2 linked regions of the Lepisosteus oculatus genome follow. The protein of the gene in region 2 interacts with the protein of the main gene of each other region in a pairwise test. Links are inferred from orthologs where the notes say so. Each region holds a gene or a part of one and is shown on either strand. Other genes may lie near its edges.

Evidence for each region.
Region 1: the proteins of kifap3a (region 2) and ncf2 interact in binary tests that used the Homo sapiens proteins (3 or more experiments, as listed by UniProt). The two-hybrid records come from large-scale screens. The link is inferred for Lepisosteus oculatus from reciprocal best matches to the Homo sapiens genes KIFAP3 and NCF2.

What each region holds. Positions count from the first base shown.
Region 1 is NC_090704.1:7,838,286-7,842,214, forward strand, and holds the start of ncf2 (neutrophil cytosol factor 2), read right to left. Parts: upstream 2,394-3,929; 5' UTR 2,213-2,393; coding exon 2,039-2,212; intron 1,276-2,038; coding exon 1,193-1,275; intron 949-1,192; exon of another isoform or gene 821-948; intron 819-820; coding exon 710-818; intron 51-709; coding exon 1-50. Other genes in the region: nmrA-like family domain-containing protein 1, read left to right, coding at 3,754-3,929. UniProt on the Homo sapiens protein: Subunit of the phagocyte NADPH oxidase complex that mediates the transfer of electrons from cytosolic NADPH to O2 to produce the superoxide anion (O2(-)).
Region 2 is NC_090704.1:8,064,307-8,068,235, reverse strand, and holds the start of kifap3a (kinesin-associated protein 3a), read right to left. Parts: upstream 2,649-3,929; 5' UTR 2,283-2,648; coding exon 2,251-2,282; intron 1,209-2,250; coding exon 1,077-1,208; intron 1-1,076. UniProt on the Homo sapiens protein: Involved in tethering the chromosomes to the spindle pole and in chromosome movement. Binds to the tail domain of the KIF3A/KIF3B heterodimer to form a heterotrimeric KIF3 complex and may regulate the membrane binding of this complex.

The sequences.
Region 1 (3,929 bases), about 230 kb from region 2:
TTTTCCCATTGTCCTAACTGTGCATGGGCCAGGGCTACATTGTGAAGGACCTGCGCAGAAAACAGGGGAGCTTCTGAGTTTGGGATTCACAGAGAGAAGCCTCACATCTGACAACTGCAGAACATCTCACCTAAACTCTTACAGCCTGTATCTGAGGTGGTATTTACAATATACAGATCTTTTACCTACACATTAAAGTAAGTCACTCTGGGACTGATAGATAAGAAGCTATTGTGTGAGTAATAGTTCTGGTGAAAAATCTGTGCTTAGAAAGCACAGGGTGCTTCTAAAGTTAGTTGGCCTTTTCACGCAAGTATCATGAAGGATATGAAGTTTGATTGCAATGGAAGCACAATCACAGTTTGAACCTCAGGACCTTTCATTGCTTCACTGTGACTAACACGACTGTCTCTTGTGTCCATGGACATGGTGCACAAGGTGTCTGGTGAACACAGTCAATGTCCTTGAGAGCATAAGACACTGCTGCTATTCTTAGGATTTCTTCCTTCTATTGCTCCCTGTATGTATTGTGAATCAGGCGTTGGTGTATCGAGTACTGATGAGGAAACATGTGACCAGTGAACGATGTGTGATATTCAGACTCAGTTCCAGGTGTGACAGTGACTCCGTTTCCTCTTTTTTGGTCCACAAAATACAATGCAAAATAGAAAATGAAGAAAAAAAAACCTTTACCACACTGAACTCTTACCTCACAGCCATACAGCTTAAATCTGAGGCCAAGCAGCTTGTAGTCAATCAGCTGATTTCCACGTAGCTCTGTGAAGGCTTTTTTAAAATCACTTAAAGATTCTTCAAACCTAACTCGGGGAGGTCATAGGGAAACAAATGATGCAGTCAAAGAGAAAGACATTTGTTTGCAAACTCATAAGGGAAACTTAAAAAAACATCTCCTAAATCTGCAATTATAACCGATTGTGACGATACAATGTAAGAAAGATTTTTGTTTCTATGGTTCTCATTTCTTTATAATTCCAGCACTTAAAACAAGTCTGCATCTTGTATCACAAGTGTCTTCAATAACTATTAGTTTTTCTAGGTATTTGTGATGGTATTTCTAACAAGAGACAGTCTAGAGGATTGTTTTTATAAACTAGGTTTTATAATGCATATTATATGTAATGTAAATGTGAGGAATTTTTTAAAGGAAAGCATCAACACCAGGCAGACTTACTTTTGCTGTTTGTAAAATGTTATCCCCCTTTGAAAAAAGGCTACAGCCAAGTGTTCATCCTTCCTGATGCTGTTGTCAAAAGCCTAAGGAAAAACAGGAGAATTCGGAAATAAGATAAAAGCTTCCAAATTAAAACAAACTGTGATTTCTGAGGAAATTCTCCCTGAATAATTCAAACTGTTTTGTTCTAATATCAGAAAAAAAACAGAGGTGTGTCTGAATATTAATGAAACGTACACTGTTTCTCAACTAGAATATTTTTTTAAAAATCAGAAAAGTCTCTGGTTTGTATTTCAAATATTTGAAATATTACTTAAGAATATTGCTGTTGGTTGTTTAGATTTACAGACCACAGCTTGTATGATACTAGTTTTAAGGAAATCTTTCAAGCACAGATGTGCAATAAATATATGAAATATTGTTTTAGAATTGTGATTCTTTCCACTGATAAATTGCAACAAGTAGTTATCGAGTGAGACTGCTGTTTTCTGCCCTGCAGGTTTACTTCCCCATTTTGAATGACTTGCATTTCAGCAACGACTGAAAGAAAAATGCGTTTGCAGAAGTATAGATTGTGCTTTTCATTCGTGATGGCAATACTGTTTATAACACATATTTTGTGAATTTCCGTGGGAGACCGATTTTGATACGTAAGGGATAATAAAAAATGAAAAACTAAACTGAATTGAGTGGAGACAGAATATGGGTACAAAATTATCTCTCTGTTTCGTGCAAAAACAGTACGTACACAGCCACTGGCAAGTAAACCTCTTATTGCCAGCAGCCTCAAGGTAGATTCCTGCCTTCTGCACTATCGAAAAGAAAAAGCGTACAGCGTATGCTCACCTTCTCTGCTGCATCCAGGTCTTTAGTAATCAAATAAAGGATGCCAATGTTGAAGTATATTTTGGAGTTTTTGTCCACGATATCAGAGAAGACTTTCAGAGCTGTAGCCCAATCCTTTCTGCCCACTGCGGCCGCTCCTTCATCCCACTGTCGGATGGTGTCCAACAGCGACATGGTGTCCGGGCTGTGATAAAAGCTCTTGTCCTCAGCAGGTCAGTGGCAGAGTCCTAATAACGGACAACAACAGCGGGAGCACATCCTCTTGCAGGGGCTGTGAGGCAAGAGTTCCAGGAAATGTTTCTACACTCGGGGCATACGCGCGGAGGAAAACCATTAGAGACCAGCAGACTCGTACCGCCTACCGCACTTTCCGTTCTCAAATTCGTGCAAATTCAGACAAACAGTGATGTGCTCTTCGTTGCACATGTGCAAAACGTTCCTGAGCTTTTGTTTCATTTCACCTGTTACACACCCCGTGTAACTGGAAGGACGTTTTAATCTCTCATCAGTTTTGCGTGTGGCAGCTAAAAAATAAAGGCTTTAAAGTAACCATTTTCCATTTGAACCTTTTTTTTTTTAATAATTCTTTGGGTAGTATAGATTGCACCTGTCCCCACAAAGCTACCATATTAATGTGATCCAGGGAGATTATGGTCAGATACTTTGTTTCCTGTTTTGACCAAAGAGAAATCTTGTAGCTAACCATAAATGTCTAGGTGTTAGGCTAAAAGCTCTGACTTGACATGCTCTCTCACAGTTGCATTAGGACCTGTCCTCATTTTGATCATCATCAAGCACAAGTCAAATCCTGAGATTGACAATGCCTTAATGCACGTTATTGCCTTAATGCACGGAACTGTGCACGGAACTGTAGTACTGTGGCATCAGATTCCAAGGAGAAAAAGTATGGAATTCCTGCAGTTCCCCAGCCAGTTTCACAGCCACACAGCCATTGTGTTAGATGTAGCACCAGATTTCTTGCTGCCTGTTGCTAAGGGAGAAATACTGGCCCCATTTAGGGTTTCCATAGAATCACTGTGGAAACACAAGGGTAAGCCATAAACTGTACAGGAAACCTCCCAGACTGACAAAACAAACAGAGAACAACGGGTATGTGGCAAAACTAAAAAAAAACAAATACAGTATCAGTAATGCAAATCTTTGTATTGCTTTAGTGTATGCTCTCCATTTGTTGAATGATTATATCTGGTTATTTATGAAAATATTAACAGATAAGGGAGGCAGACAATCTTTTTTCTTGTAATGGTAATGGACAATAAATATTGACTCAGACTGCTCAGTAAAAAAGTAGGCTTGTATCGGTAAATGTACAATTAACTTCTTCACTATTGTTTTAATTATTGTTTCCTAGTTAAAAAAGTATTTTCTGGTCTCATTCACTGTAAACACTGTGTCTTTATTACCAGCAGTACCTACATTGTCCTATTTTACAAAGTAAGTCTTTGTCATGTTTTCTTTACCAACTAATGATAGTAATGAAGGTGTTTAAGTTTTCTTAATATTGTTTTTAGCTGTTTCACCTTACAGTAGTTCCAAAAATCTATGAAACGTTTTGTCTTTGTATGTATATGTACACCACCATGAGAATTTAAAACTAAAAAGTCCAAATGAGGTTAAGTGTACTGTACCTTTTGTCTTCTGCAGCAGGAAATTTAAACACAGCTACTCCCTTTATTTTCTTCCTTTCTGAGGCAATGGAAACGGTTGTGGTTCTTGGTGCAGATAAGGACCTGGGGCAGAGTGTCGTCCATGCCCTGCTCCAGGATGGCTCTTTCGCAGTGAGAGCAGCAGTCCAGGACACAGGGAGCCCTCTGGCCCAGCAGCTGCAGCAGGCTGGCTCTCAGATAGTCGCAGTCAACTTCAAGAGTGC
Region 2 (3,929 bases):
CAATCATTGGCATGTTAAAACAAGAACTTTGTAGTTTCTTTCGCTCAGTTCCACATTGTTTCTGCACTGTATCTCTGATCAGATGTTTACCCATGAAAATTAACAAGCAAGTGTTTACATTTCTTGTGCTACCACTAGTTTTATTTTCCACACATCTATCCATCATTAATGATAGTTAACAGTCAAAATATAATAGAATTCCTCACAATGTTTTTTTTTTTAATCAAATCTATATGCAGATCAGGTAAGGCAAAAAGAACTTTATATCATGTGTGTCAGCTGGCTGTCGCAATTAAAAGTAAACAGGTAAAATGTTATACTGTAAACTTAACAGCATTGCGCAAATCATGTTTGTCATAATTGACTTGATCAGAGACTCCTCAATCATTTATTGCTAAAGAGCACTAAGGCATTGTCTCTACAGAAGCCTGTATAAAATAATGATTAAAAAATTATTTGAAGCTTGTATTGATCAGTACATACAGACAGTAGACTTTACTATTACATATCCAATATTTTATTATATTTATTGTAATAAAACCTGTTTTAAAAATATTTTACTTATTCTTTTTTCAGTGCAGAATAGAAAAGTATCCACATAATTCAATTCAGATTGTCATAACATGGATTGTCGTTGATGATGGATCTGAACCAAAGCTAAAAAAGAAAAAGCATTTGACCTGGTCTGAGTCCAATTTAGGTGATAACTGTCAGTCTCAAACATTTAAAAGGGGTGATTCAGAAATAACATTCCTGAGAGAACTCAGTTTTAGTGGGAAAGTGGCAAGTAAGCCTTAGCGAACTTCAAGCCCCGTACAAGGACTTAAACCAAGAGAAATATATTTATTGGCACCTATCAAATCCACAGCAATTCTTAAATATTTCAGTGTCTGTCCATGGAGATTTATTTTACAATAAATCCATTCCAACAGGTTTATATATATACTGCCACTTCTAAAAATGTAAAAAGGAAATAAAATATGAACATTAAAATGCGAACCAATGTAATTTTAAGAAAGCTAGGCTGCACACCAACTCTACAGAATATACCTATTTAAAACATCACCACTTCTTACATTTTCTGGCACTCTTTCCGTTCTCCTAGCATGGGGTCTCCCATCTCACCCAAAATAGTAGCTTCCACCTCATACTGGACAATAAGGGCTTTCTCAGTTGGATGGACATCAATGTTTCCTCCCTTTACTTTTCTGTAGGGGAGGAAAAAGGCACACACAAAACGACTGAAATGCATGCAAGGGCCAGGCTCGCCACTAAGCTTCAGGGAAATATTAAAACAACGGCTTCTTTAACTACTGCAATGGAAGCAAAAAGGGAAATAGATGCTAAGGACTTACCTAATATATTACATAGCGATTTTACAAGGACCACTGTTTGGGGTTATGTCTTTTAAAGCAACCAGATACTGTGAAATTCATATTTAATATCAGCATTTACCAAGTGGTATTCAATCATGTACACAAAAAAAAAAACATGAAAAATAAATTGGAGGTATTTCATAGATATTCTACTTTCTCCTGTCTGGCTCATTTGCTATCATGGCAGCTGAATTAACAGCAAGCAGTCATGCATGATATTGTTTCCTCATTTGTATGGTCTTCTAAGATATAAACTTGGATATAAGGTATAAACAAATCAAGACATAATTCTCTCGCAAACGTCAATTGTCTGTGCTTACAACTCTTTTTTTTTAATCATACGTATTGTGATTATGATAATAACATGCTGCTTAGCCAGACGTTGAGTGACACTTGTCCCTCAAAGAGACAATGGGGTTTGAACTGGTGCTTTAGAAAGCACCGGAGGACAACAACATGTTTATTTTAATATTATGTTTGTTTCCTATTGTGCTGGAATATAAACACGTTCTGCTCCCAGCACAATATGGAGCAGAATCAAACGATAACGTGATGACCTCAGTTATGTGAAAATAATCTAGGTTCCTTTTTTAACTGAAGAAGAAATTACACTAAAAACACTGACGGCCCACACCCAAACGAGCACATACAATGAATAGCAGGGATTCGTCTTGGCAAATGATTCAAACACAGAACTGCAATATTTTCCAGCAAATGGCATTTAATACATATTCGATGGGCACGTATCAGTTTATAGCGCATTTTCTGATAAAAAGAGATGACATGAAGCTATCCCATCTTACACAGTCGCAATAAAAAGCGTTTATTTTTGCTTGCTTATTTTGCTGACAGCCCCTGCAGAATTGCATCTTACCTTTTTAAATACCGTGCGTCTTCCGTTTGCATCGTGTTTTCAATTTTTCTAAATTCGACGATTTGCAATGTTTGTTTCTATGAATTCAACGATCTCACTGTACAGTATTCTATATTTTATGATACAGTAATGATGTGCAACCGGCTGTTTCCGTTGCCAGGGTAAGCCACTACTCATCCCAGCATGCAATGTAGCAACAGTGCAGATAGAGAGGGTCGGAGCTCAGCTGTTTCTGCCGGAATGATTTGTTCTTGCGCCTCCTAATGGCCGGGATGACAAAAACATTTCAGCAGTGCTGAAATCGATAGCTCTTACAGATACCGATACCAGTCATAAACAAACAAGTCCAACCAAGGCCTTTCCTCTTATTTTCGTACAGCGTAATTACTGAATTTGTTAAAGCATTTCGGAACCCCCCAATTTTCTCTTCTATGCCTTTCTGTTGAAGTAATCGCTTTTGACATAACGTCACTATAACCATCATTTTGACTTCAAAGTGACAAATCACCAGCGAGGGCGGTTTAAGGGGTAACTAGTTAACACTGTAGTTAACACTGTCCGTTGGTTTAAAAAATGTACACGTGTTTTTCTGGCATCACGATCGATGACAAGTATTACTTTTTATTTATAAATGTGGAAAAGCAGTAATTTTCTACCAGTTTCGTTTTAAAATGCATTATAAATAGTACTATTCTGATATATTTAAGCAGTTGACATCGAAATGCGGTTGGCAGGATGGCATTTACAAGCAGAAAACGATTCTGTATTTAAAAGAAATGAGATACAGTACATTCCTAAAACTTTTATCATATGGTGAAATTAACTTTTTTCCCCCTTGTGTGAGTAGCACAGATCTTTCAGGATACTAATTAACGAGTTAGTGAAATATATAGTACCCAATGTTCATGTCTTTCCTTTGAACTTGACATTATTTGTAATAGCTACATAATTGTTGTGAAAACATTAACTAACATACCATCTGAAAACGATATCCACTGAATACTAGACTGTGTGATAGTTGTAAGTTTTATTGATCTGTTAACTTCTGTTTTGTCAGGCTGTGGGGTATTTAGGTTGAAATGCTTTTTTCAGTTTTAGATTTTTGGTTTGCTTTTAACGTTTACTTTCCTACGTTTGTACTCAGTACTCAACTTGGCTTCATAACTAGGTTATGGGGGGGGAGGCTGAGGTTTTACAGATGCAGTATACACAAGAAAAACGTCTGCATTAAATTTTAGTTTATTTACTTACTGCACGATTAAATTGTAAAAAAGACGGGTGAATGGCCTGCCCCTGGTTCGCAAGCCTTCTTCTCTACAAATATTTTAAAGAAAAGGTTACAAAGTGTTCTTCTACTTCCTAGGATAACCTGTTGTAAAACATCTTTCAATTTTTAGTGGGAAATTCAGTTTAGTGGTATTACCTCAATAACTACTGTATGTATTTAATAGAGAAGTTTGATAAAAGTCATTTGTGGAAATTATTATAACATTGTTAAGACATCCATTATGAAATTCTTATCATTCAAGCTAAAACTGTTTTAAAAACATTTTTCATAACTAAATTCAGGGAGTACCAACAAAGACACAAGCACTGGCTAAATCAGAAACGTGGTGAATTGAGAAAATGGTACATAACCTTTGAAAGAAGAGAGCATGTTTGAAAATAAGGCAACAAAA